4 linked regions of the Mus musculus genome follow. The protein of the gene in region 3 interacts with the protein of the main gene of each other region in a pairwise test. Links are inferred from orthologs where the notes say so. Each region holds a gene or a part of one and is shown on either strand. Other genes may lie near its edges.

Evidence for each region. The genes of interacting proteins can lie anywhere in the genome.
Region 1: the proteins of Ccdc33 (region 3) and Lmo2 interact in a two-hybrid assay, tested with the Homo sapiens proteins (2 studies listed by BioGRID). The two-hybrid records come from large-scale screens. The link is inferred for Mus musculus from reciprocal best matches to the Homo sapiens genes CCDC33 and LMO2.
Region 2: the proteins of Ccdc33 (region 3) and Zbtb8a interact in a two-hybrid assay, tested with the Homo sapiens proteins (2 studies listed by BioGRID and IntAct). The two-hybrid records come from large-scale screens. The link is inferred for Mus musculus from reciprocal best matches to the Homo sapiens genes CCDC33 and ZBTB8A.
Region 4: the proteins of Ccdc33 (region 3) and Efemp2 interact in a two-hybrid assay, tested with the Homo sapiens proteins (2 studies listed by BioGRID). The two-hybrid records come from large-scale screens. The link is inferred for Mus musculus from reciprocal best matches to the Homo sapiens genes CCDC33 and EFEMP2.

The regions. Positions count from the first base shown.
Region 1 is NC_000068.7:103,968,687-103,973,409, forward strand, and holds the start of Lmo2 (rhombotin-2), read left to right. Parts: upstream 1-1,600; 5' UTR 1,601-1,672; coding exon of another isoform or gene 1,673-1,679; 5' UTR 1,680-1,775; coding exon 1,776-2,026; intron 2,027-4,723. UniProt on the Homo sapiens protein: Acts with TAL1/SCL to regulate red blood cell development. Also acts with LDB1 to maintain erythroid precursors in an immature state.
Region 2 is NC_000070.6:129,374,906-129,379,877, reverse strand, and holds the start of Zbtb8a (zinc finger and BTB domain-containing protein 8A), read left to right. Parts: upstream 1-1,849; 5' UTR 1,850-2,138; intron 2,139-4,972. UniProt on the Homo sapiens protein: May be involved in transcriptional regulation.
Region 3 is NC_000075.6:58,027,651-58,031,964, reverse strand, and holds the end of Ccdc33 (coiled-coil domain-containing protein 33), read left to right. Parts: intron 1-201; coding exon 202-350; intron 351-702; coding exon 703-909; intron 910-1,544; coding exon 1,545-1,631; intron 1,632-2,003; coding exon 2,004-2,117; intron 2,118-3,081; coding exon 3,082-3,207; 3' UTR 3,208-3,283; downstream 3,284-4,314.
Region 4 is NC_000085.6:5,473,088-5,477,812, forward strand, and holds the start of Efemp2 (EGF-containing fibulin-like extracellular matrix protein 2 isoform 1 precursor), read left to right. Parts: upstream 1-1,602; 5' UTR 1,603-1,687; exon of another isoform or gene 1,688-1,923; coding exon of another isoform or gene 1,924-1,980; coding exon 1,981-2,091; intron 2,092-2,320; coding exon 2,321-2,369; intron 2,370-2,978; coding exon 2,979-3,185; intron 3,186-4,474; coding exon 4,475-4,597; intron 4,598-4,725. UniProt on the Homo sapiens protein: Plays a crucial role in elastic fiber formation in tissue, and in the formation of ultrastructural connections between elastic laminae and smooth muscle cells in the aorta, therefore participates in terminal differentiation and maturation of smooth muscle cell (SMC) and in the mechanical properties and wall integrity maintenance of the aorta.

The DNA of each region.
Region 1 (4,723 bases), on a different chromosome or scaffold from region 3:
AAAAAATTTGTTTTTTAATTTAGAAAAACTAAGGACTTAAATAGAAAATATCTTTTTATACACTGAAGGTGGGTTTTGGACCAACACGAGGGCAGGCGCACAAACACAGATTTTAATTATTCCCTTTCAGTATACGTGTCAGGACATGGAGAGAGAGGGAAATGACACGAATCTGTGGGTAGTGGTTCAGGCTATTGCTAGGGAGAAATCAGGGAGGACTTTGCTCAGTACGGGGAATCCGGGAATTCATTTCTGACTATCATCTTCCGGGGTGAGCTGGTCTAGGTTATTAAAGCAATCTTTAAATTGGGGCTGAAATGCCTATGTCTTTGATCCGGGCTGTTCTTACTAAACAATGGATTCTGAGAGCACTCGGGACTTTCCTCTTTACAAACCTGAAGACTGTCATCATCATAAGCTAACGGGCCTTGAACGATCATTTCTGGACTCAGTTTCAAGGAACTCAAGGCCCAGGGGGACCTAGGTTTTTCTCCTGAAAAGTAGCTAGCTGGAATCCATCTCTTCCCTTCTGTATTTCTTTCTCCTTCTAGAACTTGTCTTCAAGCTTGAAGGAGAAACCTGCCCTTTTCTTTGTTTTATATAAGACAAAATAATAGTAAGTAATAACTGAAAGTCTTTTTATCGGGAAGGAACTTCCTCCGGTCCAAGCAAGTATTGCTGCTGATACTTTACAGAGAGGGCCAGCCTCACCGCTGGAGTTCGCTCTTTGAAAGAGGCTAGGGGAGGGAATTCTGCCGCCAGCAGATGGAGAGGAGACCCGGACAACGTGGTCCCTCCCAGACACCCTCCCTGCGGGATTAGCTGCCCCCAGCTCTGCTCAGGCGCACCTAGCGCGTGAGGTTCCTGGTCACACAGCTTGCGCCCCTCTCTGGAGAGCAGTCGCAGCTACTAGCTTGCCGCCAGCAGAGCCGCACTGTCTCGGGCATCGCAGAGCACCACGACTGTGGACTTGGGACCTCGAACCCGAGACGAGCGCGCGCTAGCCAGCCATTAGCAACGCTTGCATTTCTGCAGGTGCTTATTTCACATTCTTGTCTTTTCTTTCCTGCTGGAACGGGCGAGTGGTTACTTTCAGCCTGAGGCCAAAGGGAAAGGCAGAAGAAGGGGAACTCTGAAAAAGACAGTTTAGTGGCAGCGGGATTCTTGCCCCAGGAGAGGGGCTCAGGGGAGACTCTCGGTCTCTGCCGCGGGCCCTTTTAAGAAGCCAAGTCAGGGCTGCCGCTGTCGCCGTTGCTGCTGCTGCCGCTGCCGCCGCCGCCGCCGCCGCCGCCGCTATTTGGATTGCTAATCCCCAGGAGCCCCGTTTAAAAAAAAAAAAAAAAAGGAAGAAAAAAAGGGGGGAGGGGGCGGGCAGCTGTCTCTTTAAATGTGATTTCCTTCTATTGTATTTGAATCGTGATCAGGAAAAAGGAAATGAAACCAGAGACAGAGGGAAGCTGAGCGAAAATAGACCTTCGCGAGAGAGGAGGGAGCCTGGGGAGAGCCGCGCGGTCAGCTCCCCGCCCCCAGGCCGCCGCCCCCTCACTGCCCCCGGCGCCCCGACCCCGGCGAAGGTGCGAGGGGCTCGGGGCGACCGGGCGGAGCCGGCTACTGCGCGCGATCGGGACCGGGCGGCGGCGGCGGCGGCTGTGGTGACGGCAGCGGGACCGGGATGGAAGGTTAAGTCCTGAGCAGCGGCAGCTGTCGCAGCCACCGGAGGGAGGCCGGGCTGCTCCCCGGCCCCCTGCCTTGGCCGCCGCGCGCCGGGCAGCTGGATGATTCGCTCTCTCTCTTTGGCGTTTGAAGGGAGCGCGGTGACTGTCCTTGAGCGTGGAGGGGCGAGCTCGCCAGCGGAGCGACCGAGCAAGAGGAGGCGCAGGAGCGGCGGCGCCCGAGCACCCGAGGGGGTCCGAGTCCAGGCAGCTAGCCAGCCACGCGCCACAAAGGGAGCGCCCCCGCCGCCCGGCACGCCGCCCCCCTCCCCAATGTCCTCGGCCATCGAAAGGAAGAGCCTGGACCCGTCTGAGTAAGTGTGGCGCTTCTGTTCCGGCACCCCAAACAGGGTCCCAGGCTAGGCGCGAGGGGCTGACTCCAGGTGCGCGCCCGCAGCGTGCCCTTGATCCCTCCGTCTCCCAGGGGTTCTCTTTCCTCGCGGGTGACTCTGGAAACACCGAGAGGGACTGGGCGGCGGAAGCTGTAACTGGGATCGACCCTGCGGACCGCTCCGGGCTATCTGGAAAGCTCCCCAAACCTTTACCAGGGCCAGAAAGTTTGCCCAGGAGCTGGCACCCGGAGCTCTGAGGCACAGGTGCAGGGCAGGGAGAGTGGAGGACAAGATTCTGCCTTCTCCCTTTTCGTCCCACCCTCTCCAGGTTCCCTTCCTTTTTGTCCATTTGGCCTTGGAAAGGGGGGCATCCCAACTAGAACATCCCGGGGTCTCCGACGTCGACTCTCCTACCAGGCCCGGAGTAGAGCGGACAGTTGATGAGGTCCGCTTGTCCACCTGGGAACTGGTTCTGGCCTCCAGAGACTTCTAGAATTGCTAATCTGTCGTTCCTCCCGGTACATGTTCGCCCCTCCCCTGAGTTTCCTAGTGCGGGCATGTGAACCTCGAAAGTTAGTGCACATTTTTTTTTCTGTCTAGTATGTTTTTCTAGGGAGCAGAATCTCATCGAACTCTCAGAAGGGCTGTGTGTGTGTGTGTCAGCGAACCAGAGCTTTAATGAGCATGTACTGTCTAGTGCTCTGAGCTTTGCGCTGGTTTGCAAAGAACAGCCCCCCCTCCCTTCCCCATTCCACAGCCTGTACCCTCCTAGCCCATTCTCTAGCCTTAACAAGGGGAGCCAGGAACGAAGGTATCGGTTTTTTTTTTTCCACGTCCACACAAATGCCCTTTTAAGAGTCATTAGCTGTCTGGTTTTGAGTTTTTATTCCTTTGAAGTCCTCATCTAATCCTTTGAAGGGATTTGTTAACACAAGACCAAAGGCACTGCTAATGACTTGTCCGTTTGGGCTTTTAAGATGCATTTGTTTTGGTGGGGTTTTGCCCCCCTTTTCTTTTCTTTTCCTGCTTTAAAAGAATTGTGCTTTCCTGCTGGAGTTTTCCTATTCACCCCCCCCTTCAATTTCAGCCTTCTGTGGTGTTTATTTACCTGGGCTTTACCCTCAGCCAGCAGCATAAAAACCCAGCGTGTTCTCATAAAACACAGGAAGTCCCACGATCCAGCAAGAATATAAACATCACTCTTCAGTCTTGAAGGTTAAGACACTAGCTCAGAAAGGAGCTAGGTTTGTTGGCAAGAGGACCAGCTTCCTTAAAATCTCAGGAGAGAAACAACAACCCTTTAAAGAGTCAGTGTCTATAGCTTGTTCCCTTTTAAGCATAAGCTTAGAATTACATCTGGGCCCCGAGTTTTCAGAAATTGGACAAGACATAAGATTACACAGTTGGGGAGGCAGTCTGGTGAACTGCTGTTTACTGGCTCCCTATCAGCACAACCTAACCACTAATCCTTTATTAGATGTTGAATCTACAGAGTTTGGCTTCTTAAAAAAATTACTAATTACATGAATGTGTGTGTGCACCTAAGCTCAGGTCCCCTGGAGGCTAGAGGTGAAGGATCTCCCTAGAGTGGGAGTCACAGGTAGTTGTGAGCCATCTGATTTGGGTGTGGAGACTCCAACTTGGGTCCTTTGGAAGAACAGAAATCATCCTTAAACAGCTGAGCCTTCTCTCCAGCCTGGGAATTGTGTTCTGTAAAGGAAGTTTACTCTTGCTAAAGTTGGTGCCTTTTATTGCCTCAGACTAGAAAACTGAAAGGTATCTCATAGCTGTAGTAGTGAGCACCTACCTAGTTCAGGAGGTCCACTGGTAGTTCATCTTTCCTGCAGTATGTGTCCGGTAAAGGAAGGCTGTAACTGAAGATGGACAAGCCCCGTGGGAAATGTCTGTGGAACATTTCCCCTCTTTCTGGGAAATTGTTGAGAAATTTTTGCCAGAAAATCAAAGCTAAAGAGATACTCAGGTGTCATATTTGGGACAGGCTGGCGGGAGAATATCAAATATTAACTTAAGGTAAATCTCATTTAGTCTTTGGCTTGAATTGTTCAACAGAGGTAATGGCATGTCATTAATTATAGAAAGATAGACCGAGTCCGAATCTTGTCCTGTCTTTATCTGTTGTTCTCAGACCCTCGTGTCTCTTTCTCGTGCAACTAGCTCTCCTGCCAGCGGCCTCACTGAGTGCTTGCTCAAAGCCAGCTTGGGTCTTTACCAGCTTGGATCTCCAGATGCAGATCGGTCCTTGCCTAGGCACGTGCAAAGGTAGCGTGTGCACAGGAAGCCAGTATTCATGAACACAGATATCCTTCACCATGCAATTGGTGTTCCCTTCTGCTTCCCTACAGGTCATTTTAATTCTAGCGAATTTTGTTCCAGCTAAGTACAGATTCTTCTCTTTCAAAGTTGGCTGCAATAACATCCACCCTCTGGGCATCAAGCATGATGGGAGTTCTGTGAGTGTTTTTGAAAGCCCACTGTAAAACCTTGAGCTATGCAAAGGATGGAGATTAGATTCTGAATTGGTGCACTTGAATAGGCCAAGGATCTTAGTTAACTTTCAAATATGAGGATGGATGCCTTATATATACCCTATAGAAACAAAGGCTCTAGTAGGAACCTGACAGGGTTTCTCTTTGTAGTTCTGGCTGTCCTGAAACTCAC
Region 2 (4,972 bases), on a different chromosome or scaffold from region 3:
ACCTGTCCGGGGCCTAGGTTGGGAGCAGACAAGAATAGCTGCTAAAGAATTGTTTCCAACTTCCCTTTAGACAACTGTGTAGGCAAAAGGCTCCTGCACACCGGGCCTCCACCGGGAAAGGGATCCTCCTGGTTGGCTTAGTTGTTTTGAGCTTAATCCTGGCTGAAAGAGAACAGCACAGAGAGACCTGCCTGCTCTCTGTGTGTGTGTGTGTCCCCCAGACAGGGTCTCCTATGTAGCTCTGCCTGTCCTGGAACTATGTAGACCAGGGTGGTCTCGAACTCAGAGCCTCCTGAGTTCTGGCATTACATGCATGTGCCACAACACCTGGTGTCCTAATGATTTTCTTTCTTTTTTTAAAAAAAGATTTATTTATTATATGTAAGTACACTGTAGTTGTCTTCAGACACACTAGAAGAGGGCGTCAGATCTCATTATGGATGGTTGTGAGCCACCATGTGGTTGCTGGGATTCGAACTCGGGACCTTTGGAAGAGCAGTCAGTGCTCTTAACCGCTGAGCCATCTCACCAGCCCTGTCCTAGTGATTTTCAAATAAGCACTGGTCTACCTTTCCTTCCATTATCTCCCATTACCTCAAAAGTCCAGGAAACGAATCTTAATCACAGAGCACCCCTGGGGTAAACAGGTGTGACATTAAGAAACTGTTAGGTGTCAAACCTGGGACAAATAGCTGGGGTGCCTAGTTAACATGTCAAAGCTGACCTGGCCACCAGGTTCTCCCAGCATCCCTCAGTCCAATACCTGTTACAGGGTCCTCTAGGCTGGCATATCCGGCCCCCTAGCTTGAATCCTCCAGTCCAGGGGGCTGAGCTATTCTTCCCTATATAATCCAACCATTTTGGCTCCCTACCCTCTTTGTAATTTGGGTCTCCTGCTGTACTTGGTTCTGCTGCTCTCTCTCCTCCCTCCCCCACCCCACATCACAGGGCACAGCTCAGTTCACTCTGTACTCTCCCAGATGTTCCTGCCTCTGGCTGTGCTCTCCCACATATCTATAATAAACTTTCTCCTCCACTATACCTAGGACCAGGCATGTCCCTTTCCTTTTTATTTCTCCTTTTTTTTTTTTTTTCATTCAGAAATGACTGTATTGTATTCTCAGAGAGAATGATGTTCGAATACATAGTTACTTAGTGAGGAGATCGGAGAAATAGGACCCTGATGGGCTTGACTGAGGCTTGGGAGAGGAACGCCTCAAAATATTAAACGCATGCTTTGAGACTTTGAATCTTCTCCCCCATTCCGCATTACTTGACAATCAGCGTGAAGAAGTAGAAAACTAATTTAGTTTGTGGAATTTAAGCAGTATGAAAATTCAGCGGTTTACTATTTTAGGAAATGTATCACCTGATATTTGTGTGCCATAAATATTAGGGTCACGTCAGAAGAGAAACTTGATTTTACGACCAATTTTTATATTTGAAAACACGAAACACTGTTTTGTACTAGTTTTATATAAAGAATCACGGCCTCTTAATCTCAGCCCCTCCGGGCTTGCCTCTTCAAAGGGCTTGATGGGGACCTACAGAGGTTTCTAAAAGGCTATAACTGAAATTAAGTGCTTCGTCAAAGGGCGATTTTGTGGAACTCTCTCCCATTTTACGTCGCTAAACTTAAGTACAATAATGTCACATGTATACAGTATTTGTGGGCACGCCTAAGTCCCTCCCTCTCTCCTTGAACCAATATCTCCACATATTAGAAATCCAGCCCTTCTGCCCTCCGGAGGCGCCTTTCCCAACGTAAAGTACAATTTTAAAATTTAAGCTCCCGACTAAAAGAATGATCCCCAATCAACTGCTGGGGAACCTGGGCGCCCTAGTGCCTGCGGAGGGTGCAGTCGGGCGTGGGCACGGACAGGGGGAGTGGGCGAAGCTGCTGGTTGGTGCCTGAAATCTGTGCGTTGCCCCTTTAATTGTGTCCTCAGCCCTCGGGCGTTTCTGTCCAACGCCCACGTCAGCAAATACCTTTTGTTTCTCCCACGTTGGGGCTACTTGTTTTAGGGCGCAAAGCCTCGGCTTCGGAAAGGGGCTGCTTCCCCTACCCGGAACCGGGAATCGCTCCGCAGCGCGCGCGCGCGCGAGCGAGCGAGCGAGCGAGCGGCTAGAGCCCCGCGGTAAGTGGCTGCACGGGCGCGGGCGGGAGGAGGGCGGCCCGGGCGTCGGGGCTGCGGGCCGGGCCCAGAGCCTGGCGGAGGGCGGCGGAGCCGCCGGGGTGCGCCCCGGGACTGCAACCCCAGCCGGTGCGCCGGGCGACGCAGGGGGCACCCGGCGCCATTTGCAGCCGGGGGCGCAGAGCGGCGGCTCCGAGGGTCGGCGACGGCCACAAAGGAGACGCGGGCGGCGGCGGCGGCCCCGGGCGCGGCTGCGGGACAATGGCTGCACCGTCGCCGCCCGCGCCCGCCCCGCCGCCAGCCTTGGCCCGGCCCGGGGAAAGGCGGGAAGGCGCCCGAGCCTCCTGACGGCCGCGGCGGCGAGGCGGCGCCACGGGGCCGGGCGTGTCTGCAGACGTCGGGCGCGGGGCGCGGGGCGCTGCAGCCCGGCGGTCTCACTCCGCCCTCCACTCTCTGGTTTTCCATCACGACGCGACAGTTCTGGGCTTAGAACCGAGGGCAGAAATATGGAGCCCCAGCTGGCCCCGCGGCAGAATGTCCCTGGCATCTCCCACCTGGAGACACTGTCGGCTTTAGTCCCTTCGCGCTCTGGCGCGCTTACTCGCCCTTGACCGTGCGGTTATTCGTAATCCACGTCTTTGCGAGACGTGTTTGGAATAGGATTCACACCTAGCGGGCACCCAACCACACACGCCGCCAACACCTAGAAGTCTTTCTATTTGCAGAACTTTAGTAAATGGAGTGGTTTCACTTTGACGAAATATTGCACTTAATTTCTTATGAGACGGCTACGGGTTCCGGCTGTTTATTCTACCTAGCAAAGGGGAAAGGGGGAAAAATAAAACGCTAATGGTTAGGGAGTCTCATCCCTAGGCAGGGAGCTGAGACGTGGCAGCCCCCCAAGGCGCCCTGTTCTTGCAGCGTCCCGGAACAGTCTCCAAAGTACCAAAACCTTCGCTGATTTTATCACTTAAATCGCACTTTTATTTACCTATTTATTCTTTGTTTTAAAGCGGACTCAGGCTAGACTTGAAAATTTGATCTTACCTCCACCTCGGGAGGGCTGGGATGCACTAGGCAAATTTTTGGCACAATTATATACTTTTTAATATTCAAAGACGTTAATATAAGTTTTAAAACTCCTCTTTTAAAAAGCTATTTTATATATCTTTTTTTTGAAGGCACTGTTTCATGTACCCCAGGCTAGCCCTAAATCTTGGACCTCTGATTCTCTTGCAGCCCCTACCAAATGCTGGGATTACAGGCATAGATCACCACACCTGATATTATCCTGTACTTGAATTGAACCCATGCATGTCACATAGGCACTCTACCACTAAACCCAGCCCTCTCCAAACCTTAAATGGCTCCTTCACATCCTACTAAAAAAATAAAAAAATCCAAAACCCCCATGGTGTGTGTGTGTGTGTGTGTGTGGTGTGTGTGGTGTGTGTGCGTGTGGCGTGTGTGTGTGTGTGTGTGTGTGTGTGTGTGTGTGTGTGTGTGTATTTTGAACCCGGGCCTTGCATGGGCTAGGTAAATGTTACCATTGAGATACATCCCCAGGCCCCTTATTTTAAATTTTAATTTTATTATGAGATGAGGGTTTTCTCAGGGTTGCCTTGGTCTTACTTCTTCCTGCCCCGCCTCCCAAGACCCTGGGGTTAGCCGACATTACTGGCACACCACAGTGACCTCCTCTCCCCACCCATCCCTCCTCCATCTGTTCCTGTCCACCTCACGGCCTTTGCACCTGCTGTTTGGTTTGCCTGGAGTAGTTTCAAAGATACACATTCTTTCCTGCTATGGACACCAATCACTCAGATGTCATCTTCTCGGTGAGGCCTTTCCAAGTATAGTTTCAAAACTCGAGTCTCTCTCTATTTTTTTTTTTTTTTAGATTTATATATATATGTGTGTGTGTGTGTGTGTTGCCTGCCTTTGTGCCAGTATACCAAGTGCTTGCCTGGTGCCAGATGAGGGTGTTGAATCCCCTTACATGGATGTTAGAGATGGCTGTGAACCTCCATGTGGGTGCTGGGGATTGAACCCAGATCCTTGGAGAAACAGCCAGTGCTTTTAACTGCTGAGCCATCTACCCAGTCCCTCTTAAGTGTTCTAACATTTCATTCTAAGACTTTCCTATCTTAGACCCTGTAGACCATATGTGCTACTAAGATTACCGAAGGTCAGGTCACATAGAAGGAACAGATATTACTGGGCCGTGGCGTTGCATACCTTTAATCCCAGCAGAAGCAGGCAGATCTCTCTGTTTTGGAAGCCAGCCTGGTCAACAGATCAAGTTCCGGGCCAACCAGGGCTACATACACAGGGAATCCCTGTCTAGAAGAAAACAACAGAACAGATATTTACTTCTTGCACTGGTAGATGCTGGGAAGCACAAGATTATGGTGCCCTGTGTGGCTTCTTTCTGCTTCCCGGAAGGCACCTCTTCGTGGCATACATAATGAGGGTAAATACAGTGCTGTGCCTTCATTAGTAAAATGGGTAGAAGGGATGAGGTGGAGAGCAGACCTACTCCTCCAAATCTCTTTATTAGGATGCTAATCCCGTCCCCGAGGGCAGCACCCCTCCCCCCAGGGTGGCCTAATCACCCCCTAAAAGCTCCTATAATACTCTTCCTCCTCTGCGAGTGAACTTTCAGCCTGAACTTTGGAGGCGACACAGATTTCTAAAGCTCAGCTCTTAAGTTGTTTCTGGACTTAATTCTAAACCTTCCCAGAATTGTACATGGCCGTTCGTCCTCCGAAGAAATACAGTCGCCATTCAAAGAACAGTTTGCTCTCTTCCCGTTAGCCCAAAGTTAGGAGGTGGGG
Region 3 (4,314 bases):
AGAGTGACCAGAGAGACAAATACAAGGAGAATCGAGCAGGGAGGGACATGGGGAAAACGTAGGAATCTAAACAGCCTGGGAGGACAGCCCGAGGGATATGGACCTGACTCTACTGGCAAAGGAGAGCCGTTGATACTGAGGCTAATGGGCACATAGAAGCAGCAAAGCCCATCTCGAAAGCACCTGTTCCTGTGTTCACAGCCTCGGGCATTCCTCTGGGCCCCGTGGGAGAGACCCTGGCTGTTGACCTTTACTCCATGCTGCTAGCAGAAAACACGAGGCTTCGGACAGAGCTGGAAAAGAACCGCCAGCAGTCAGCCCCCATCATTCTGCAGCAGCAGGCCCTACCGGTAAGAGCTGCCACACAGGTCTGGCTTGAGCCTGCCGGCACTGGTCAGCAGGTAGCCCACAATCATCCCTCGCATGAACCAAGTTGAAGATTCGGCCCAGAATCTGGGCTTCCCAGCACCCAACAGCACTGGAAACATTCGTACTAGGGCCTTGCTCTTGCGCTCCTAAGATAACTATCTCACCATTGTCTGCCATCCTGGGAGAGAGCAAGGCCCTGGATCACCCTTGACCCCTGAATCCTAACTTCACCTGCCACCTGACTTGCTCCCATCTGGACACCCTCCCACCATGGGGCCTCTCAGGACCTTCTGGGATTGGTGCAGCCTTGGAGAGCCCTTTTCCCCATCCCAGGTGGATCCCAGGGAGTTGGGAGCAGGTGGAGATTTGGCAGAAAGGCTACAAGACACAAATGGCCCGGGCCACCCCAAGTCCACAGAGACCCTGCCAGCACAGGTGGGTGTCCCAGGAGGCTACTCCACTGCCCAGGCTGCTCCAGGTGCCCCTGCTGTACACAAACCCAAAATCAATATTTGGAGCTCTGGTGGCATGAGAACACAGGTGAGTGTGCTTCCTCATCCCAGGACGTGAGTTCTGCTTGCATTATCCCAGTGCATGGGCAGCCAGGCAAAGCGTGAGAGATGGGTATCCCCTGCTCTGATGAGCCTTTATGCTACAAAAGACCTCCAGTTTAACCACATACCATGTATTAATGCATTTACATAAGCAGTTGATATGTTAAAGCATTAGGTATGAGTCGGGGGTGCAGCTCAGTTGATAGAATGCTTGCCTAGCATATGTGAAGCCCTGTGTTCGATCCCCAGCACTGTATAAATCTACACCTGCTTGCAACCCCAGCACTCAGGAGAATGGGGGCAGGAGGAGCAGAAGTAAAGTCATTCTCACAATGTAGTGAGTTCAAGGCCAGCCTGGAATATATATTATCCCACCTTAAAAAAAATGGTTTAAGGTTAGACTCTCCAGTACTGAGTGGGAAGCAACGTGGGAGATTAAGTGCATGTGAAGCCCTGGGACGGTCTTAAGGAAGAGGCCCTGGCCCGGGAGTGAGGCTCTGTATCCACAGCTGAATTTGAAACCCACACCTGGCTGGCTTTTCTTGCAGTAGACTTGTGTTTCCATGGCTCTCTTGGCCTCAGCTCCCAGCTAGGACCTTACAGTAGTGTGTGCTCCCACAGGACTTCCTTGGTGGTACTTCAGACAAGTTTAACCTCCTGGCCAAGCTAGAACAAGCTCAGAGTCGGATCTTGTCCCTGGAAAACCAGGTAAGTGAGGTGCTGGGGTTGATCAGGCTGAACCAGGCTCACTGTTCAGCCTACAGCCAGGGGCAAGGCTTAGTATACAAGCAGAGTCAAGGCTCAGTGTCTGACAGAATTAGGCTCAGTATGTGAGGGTCAGTCTTAGTCTGTGACCAGAGTCAAGGCCCAGTGTAGACTCAGATCAGACTGGACTCCATACCAAGTGCAGAGAAGATCCGACTGTGTCTTGGGCTGCGTATTTGTCGCCTCACCTCTGCTACTGCCAGAGCTTGCTTGCCTCTTCCCAGAGGATCGCCCCAAATTCTGATTGTCCTGGCTTGAGGTAGGGAAAACCATACTGACTGCTGGCTTTCCAATGGCTTCTCTCCATGTCTGAAGCTGGAGGAGTCAGCTCGCCACTGGGCACGAGAGAAGCAAAACCTGGCCATTCGTCTTCAAGAGCAACAACACGGCTTTGGACAGCCACCAAACTCCATCATCATAGACCAGCCTGTGAGTGACCCTGACGGAGTAGTTCCTGGAAATCTAGGTGGTGGGCTAGAAGCCATCCCACCCCAAATCTTGGGGCCCTGAGAAAATCATGTGTGTGGGGGGTAGATCGTAAGCTAAGTAAGTGTCAGAAGTCTTGAGCTGAGGTTCTGTCAGCAAACTGGATATTCAAGTGACCTCCATTCCTCCACACATCCAAAGGGGCAGGAGTGTCTGCCCATGTGTCCCCTTTCCCATTGGTTGTTGTGAACCTCTAGGAGACCAGTGTGGGTGAGAAATGACCTATACTAAGCATTTCTGGAATGTTCTTGCTCTACTTTGGCTTCACAGAATACCTTGTACCTCTTCCCACCCGTTTCTCTGTTTAGCTGCCTTTTTTTTCTTTTTCTTTTTCTTTTTGTTTCTGGCTTTTCAAAGCAGGGTTTCTCTGTGTAACAGCCCTGGATACCCTAGAACTCACTTTGTAGACCAAACTGACCTCAAACTCACAGAGATTTTGCCTGCCTCTGCCTCCCAAGTGCTGAGATTAAAGGTGTGTTTAGCTGCCTTCTTAGGTTATGTCAACACTAGGAATAGATCCACATTGCCTTCTTCCCAGGAACAAATAGTTAACCACAGAGAAGGCAGTACTCCCTACCCGAGGGCCAGCCCTGGGACTTCACACCCTACAACAAAGATCCTGATTTCCCTACCCTCCCCAATCAGCACTTGGCTTGCAGCCAAGGCTCTACCACCCCTAGACAGAACCTGAAGGATGAGGGGCTTCCGGGGAGCATAGCTTACCTCTGTAAGCTTATCTAGCACTAGGGACCCAGAGATATGAGGGGTCACTTTCGGTGATGAAATGGGCTCCAATGTTAGTCAGAAGTCACAGCCTACTGGGTTTTGAAGACTCAGGAGCCTGACTTGCCAGGTAAGATGCCCTTGGAGTGGGGATGTACTCATCTGCCCTACTTGCATGTCATAGAATGCTGGAGCATCCAAGAATCGCCAGCAGCTCTCGAAACTGGAAACCTCCCTGCCCAGCTCAGACAAGAAGCTCAACAGACCCTCAGACTCTCAGATTGAGATCTCTAACAACCAGAAGACCTGAGACCGGAGCAGATCTCCTTCGCCATGTGCTGGGGATTCACGTGCCCCCAAAGACGCCTTTAATAAAAGCTGTCAGTCAATAAGCATTTGTCTTTCTTTTTTTTTTTTTAAAGATTTACTTATTTATTATATGTAAGTACACTGTAGCTGTCTTCAAATGCACCAGAATAGGGTGTTAGATCCCATTATGGATGGTTGTGAGCCACCATGTGGTTGCTGGGATTTGAACTCAGGACCTTCAGAAGAGCAGTCAGTGCTCTTAACCGCTGAGCCATCTCTCCAGCCCGTGTTTGTCTTTCTTGTGGAATAAACAATTGCTCTTCTCACATCCAACTTGGGTCCTGGGTTCTCTGAGGTGGCCTGGTACCTGCTGCCTGAGCTGGAAAGCTGGGATGATCCCTGGAGAGTTCTGAGGAGAGGGACCATGGAGACTAGAAATAAGGTGCCTGAAGCCAAGCTCTGTGCAAGACAAGAGAGAGGCCATGTTTCCACTCAGCCCTCCTACACCTTTCATGTCTGAAATCCTTTTACACAGGCTTAGGTCTTCAGAGTTACCCAGGAACAGAAAGGCTTGCAGCTTTTCTATGACACCATTCAAATATCCCATCATGGCTGGCAGAACAGGTGATATGTGTATAAATGTAGCCAGAGTCAGGAAGTCGTGAGAGCTGGAACCCCAGCTGGCCTGGGTTCTGGGGCATGAGCTTTCTGAGTGACTCTAACTAACTGGAAATCTCTCTGAACCCCAGATTCTTTATCTACCCCCTGCAGAGCTATCTGTCTGAGCAAGGAGGCCCTTTTCAGTACTGAGAGTTGTGAGTCATCTTTGAGAGGAGATACAGCATAAAGGAGAGGGGAGAGGGAAGGAGAGGGGAGAGGGGAGAGGGAAGGAGAGGGGAGAGGAAGAGAGAGAGAGAAGAGGAGGAGGAGGAGGAGGAGGAGGAGGAGGAGGAGGAGGAGGAGGAGGAGGAGGAGGAGGAGGAGGAGGAGGAGGGGTGGTCATAAACTAGGGAGAAAAAAAAGCCTCGAGAGTAAACCCAAAACCTGCAGCCTAGCCAGCAAGGACCAAGCCAGCTTGGCTGCTGTTCTGAGCTGGCCTAGTCTCCAC
Region 4 (4,725 bases), on a different chromosome or scaffold from region 3:
ATCCAATCCCCATTACAGATGGTTGTGAGTCACCATGTGGTTACTGGAAATTGAACTCAGGACCTCTGGAAGAGCAGTCATTGCTCTTAATTGCTGAGCCACCTCTCCAGCCCGTTAATTTTTTTTTCTTTTTTCTAATCAAGGCAATGGAAGCTGAGGAAATGTCTTATTGGGTAAACCGCTTGCTACACAGCATGAGGGTCTGGGTTCAGATTTCCAGCCCTAGCATAAAGGCCAGCTATAGTGGTGATGCAGGTTTGTAACCCTTAGAGGGCCAGGGAGGTGAAGACTGGCAGACCACTCTGGCACTCTGGCCACGCAATCTAGCTAAATTAGTAATTTCCAGCGACAAACCCTGTCTTAAAACATAAGGTGAATAGGTACACACGAATATACCACATACATTACCACTCAGACAGTTAAATGAAATGAAGCAGATTTTTTTTTTTAAACGTCAAGGCAGAGCGGAGCATGGTAGTGTACACCTTTCATCCCAGAGCCTAGGAGGCAGAAACAGGCGGATCTTTGTGAGTTCGAGGCCTCATCTACTTAGTGAGTTCCAGAACAGTCAGAGTTACACAATGTGAGACCCTGTCTCAAAATGACAAAACAAAAACAAACAAACAAACAAGATGGAAAGAGGTTGGGTAAGGGAAAGTTAAGGAAGACCTGGTTATTGCCGCTAGCGGTCTGGGCCAGGCACGGGAACCCTGGACACGCAACCCTTTCCCGTCTAGGCCCGCCTTGAGACGTGGGCAACGCGAAGTCCCGCCCATTCACCCCTTCCTGGGCGCTGGAGGCACCCAGACTCCGCCTCCAAGGCATGATCTCCGCTGGGGGCGGAGGCGGAAACTGGGTGGGGGACTTGGATGGGAAGAGGCTCGGGAAAGGGCTGGCACTGGGCCCTAGTGTCCTCCGCGCCCAAGTTCAAGCTTGCCCGCCTTCCCAGGGGCTTCCATTCATTTCGAGCCAAGAATACTGCTGCCCTCTCCCCCATACTACTGTAGTTTTGCGCTGGCACGGCTTGGGGAAGCAGTACCCCAAGTAAAGAGACCACCTGGAGGCCGTGGATGTGGATGCAGAGGGAATTGGACAATTAATTTGGACAATTAATTAAGTTGGACGAGGGTCTGGAAACCTTGGATGAAGTTTTAGGATCATCTAAGTGATGATGGTTTAACACTGGATAAAATTCTGAAAGGAGTAGAATTTGAAGCTCTGAGGATTAAATGCCTAGTAGGTTCTGGGAGGCGCAGAATCGGGTTACACGGAGGTGCGAATGCACAGCATGGGATTCCGGAGGCACAGGTTAGATAGGGTCTAGGTGGGCAGAATAACATTTTGAGTGAAGGCCCGGGGTCCTTAGGTGAGTTTGGGGGCCAAGCATCAAGGTCAGTGGCCTAAGGATCCAAACTTTGGGAAACTCTGGCTGGGCGTCCGCAGGCGACTCCAGGCAGCGCCGCGGGGGACCGGGTGGGGGCCTGTGGCCGGCCGGGGCGGAGAAGCCGGGGGGTCGGGGTCCCTCCCCCTGGCGCGGGCTCAGGAATCCGCCGAAGGGCGGGCGGAGGCGCCGGGGTGGGCCGCGGCCGGCGGGCGGGCGGGGGGCGCTTCCTGGGGCCGCGCGTCCAGTGAGCTGCGCGGTCCGTCCGTCCGTCCGCCCGCCCGCAGGCACTGCTGGAGTCGACGCGTGAGTGGCCTCCAGCGGAGGGAGGGCGCGGGCCGTTTGGCGGCCGAGTCGGTGCTGCGCGGAGCGGGGAGGCCTGCGCTTCACGACTCGCGGGGCGGGGGCGGGGCGGTCCGGGATTGCGGGCCTGGGCCATAGGCCTGCGAAAGGATTCTGTCCCCAGCCCTGGAAGGTTCCAGCCTCAGCACAGTCCTGAGACGAGACAGCTGGGACCCAGGCTCCCCTTCCAGATAGAGGGAATGGGGGGTGCTGTGGCAGAAACCCCTGACTTCTGCCCACCACCTCCCAGCCTCAGGATGCTCCCTTTTGCCTCCTGCCTCCCCGGGTCTTTGCTGCTCTGGGCGTTTCTGCTGTTGCTCTTGGGAGCAGCGTCCCCACAGGATCCCGAGGAGCCGGACAGCTACACGGTGGGGACCGTGGGGTCACCAGCTTGGGATGGGATGGGAAGGACAGTGAGATCAGGATCCTGGGGAGGCTGCTTCTGGGCAAGATTCTCCCCGGCTTGGTTGGTGGAAAGCTGGAGGCCATTGTGTGGAGCTGACCCGAGCATGACTCTGAACTCTGGCCCTGGTCTTGGCCTGGCTAGTTGGTGGAGACAGCCAGGGTGGTCACTGGCCACATCGGGTTCCCTTCCAGGAATGCACAGATGGCTATGAGTGGGATGCAGACAGCCAGCACTGCCGGGGTGAGTCTCTGTCTGGGGTACTAGCCATCTTCAGGAACTGGGAAGGGGGTTGTTGTTTCCCAGGGATACCTTACCTCCCAGAGCTGCTGCAGGAACTTGATGGCCCTTTTCCCTGTCCAGCTTGGTAGCCAGCCATGCTTCCCTTGTGCCACTCAGTTAGGAGCCCTGCCCCTTCAAGAAGCTGGACAAACGGCCTCTATCCTGCAGGAGGGAAGGGAGCACCTGGCTATTGCCCAGAGAGAAGGAAATACGCACACCTTCCCTGGACTGCACTGTACCTGCCTAGCCCAGCTCTTTATCCCAATGCAGCCTGGGAGAGCCGTGCATGCCCCGTGGGTCGGCAGGCCCGCAAAATTTCTCTTGGGCAAAGGTAGAGGCAGGGATTTGAGGAGGCAGGAGAATGGAGATACCAGTGTGAAACAGGGGGCCCCACTCCCAGTCCTGCCAATCCCTGGCAGGGCTTCTGGGTCAGCAGCCTTAGTTTGCCTAGCAGAGAGAAAGTCTTGCTCTGTTGCTCAGCTTAGAGAAGGCCAAGTTGGGCATCTGCCTCCCACTACCTCCAGGGCCAGCCCAGGTGACTGGCTGTGCCCAGCAGGCCCCTCTCTGCAGATGTCAACGAGTGCCTGACCATCCCGGAGGCTTGCAAGGGTGAGATGAAATGCATCAACCACTACGGGGGTTATTTGTGTCTGCCTCGCTCTGCTGCCGTCATCAGTGATCTCCATGGTGAAGGACCTCCACCGCCAGCGGCCCATGCTCAACAACCAAACCCTTGCCCGCAGGGCTACGAGCCTGATGAACAGGAGAGCTGTGTGGGTAAGCAAGGGCTGATCGGGTGTCTGGGCTTCCACGCGGTTTATGAGTTTTTTCCCCGAGACAGGGTTTCTCTGTGGAGCCCTGGCTGTCCTGGAACTCATAGACCAGGCTGGCCTCGAACTCAGAAATCTGCCTGCCTCTGCCTCCCGAGTGCTGGGATTATAGGCGTGTGTTACCATTCCTGACTTTTTTTTTTTTTAATTTTTAAACTAATTTTGTATTTACTGTACAAAGTAATGCGTTCCATCATGGTATCATCTCCTGGCACATGTCATTCTTGTTTGTTTTCATCTTCTAGTAGCACTTTTTGGTCCTCCCTAGTTTTTGTTGTTGTTGTTTTTGTTTTTTATTTATTTTTTTGTTTTCTTTTGGGGGCGATTTTGAGACAGTTTCTGGATTTGATCCCCACCATCACAAAAACAAGAGGATCTCTGTGGGTTCCAAGCTAGTTGTGGTCTGTGTGGTAGCAGACACTTGTAGTCCCACCAGTGGGGAGATGTGAGCAGGAAGACCTGAAGGTAAAGGGCACCCTCAACCGTAAGGGCTTTGACTGAGGACGACCTGAGCTGGGTGAGCTCTTATCTCAAAAAGGGAGCTAATTAATTAATTAATTAGTAAAAGTAATGTTCCCTATAAAATCCCCAGGCCTCATGCTCCTCTTCCCCCTGGCTCCTCAGAGACAGATCCAAGTCGTCATCTACTGCAGGCTTAGCATGGTCTGCAGGCCCAGGAAGGCCCTGGCAGCCCCTCATTTCCTGTACAGACACAGGAGCTCTGCTCGCAGCCTCTGGCAGCTTTTTGATCTGGAGTCAGCCTTGGGAACCATTGGCCTTGGAGGAGGAAAGATCCTGGCCCTAGAGTCAGCTGAGGGGTGTAAATGGACAAGGTTTTGTTTGTTTGTGTATTTATTTATTTTTAAGACAGTGTCTCATTCTGTAGCTCTAGCTACAACTAGCTTGGAACCCACAGAGATCCTCTTGCCTCTGCCCCCCACGTCCTCCCCCAGTGGTGGAGTTAAAGGTGTGTGCCACCAGACCCCACAAGGCCTTATTTTAATATGCTCTCCTAGTGGGTACTTCTCCTAGTGACTCCTTGGTGGACTCTTTTTTTTTTTTTTTTTTTGTACTATTGGGATGATCTGAATTACACATCCATGATTTAGTGCCAACCACCCACGTGCCCATGTGAATGGAGTCTAGGGCAGTCCGCCTCCTCCCGAATTGAGATCCCTCACGTGGTCAGGAGCATATGGGGGCCTCCAGGCGAAGGCTGAATGCTGTCTCTCACAGATGTGGACGAGTGTACCCAGGCTTTGCATGACTGTCGCCCTAGTCAGGACTGCCATAACCTTCCTGGCTCCTACCAGTGCACCTGCCCTGATGGTTACCGAAAAATTGGACCCGAATGTGTGGGTGAGTTCTGAGTGGCTCTGCTAGGTTCTTGTTCTGTGACCTTGGTCTGGCTCCTGGTCTGATGCCTTACCTCACCCCAGTCCTCTGCTACTAGTGCACTCCTGTCACTAGACACGGAAGATTAAATG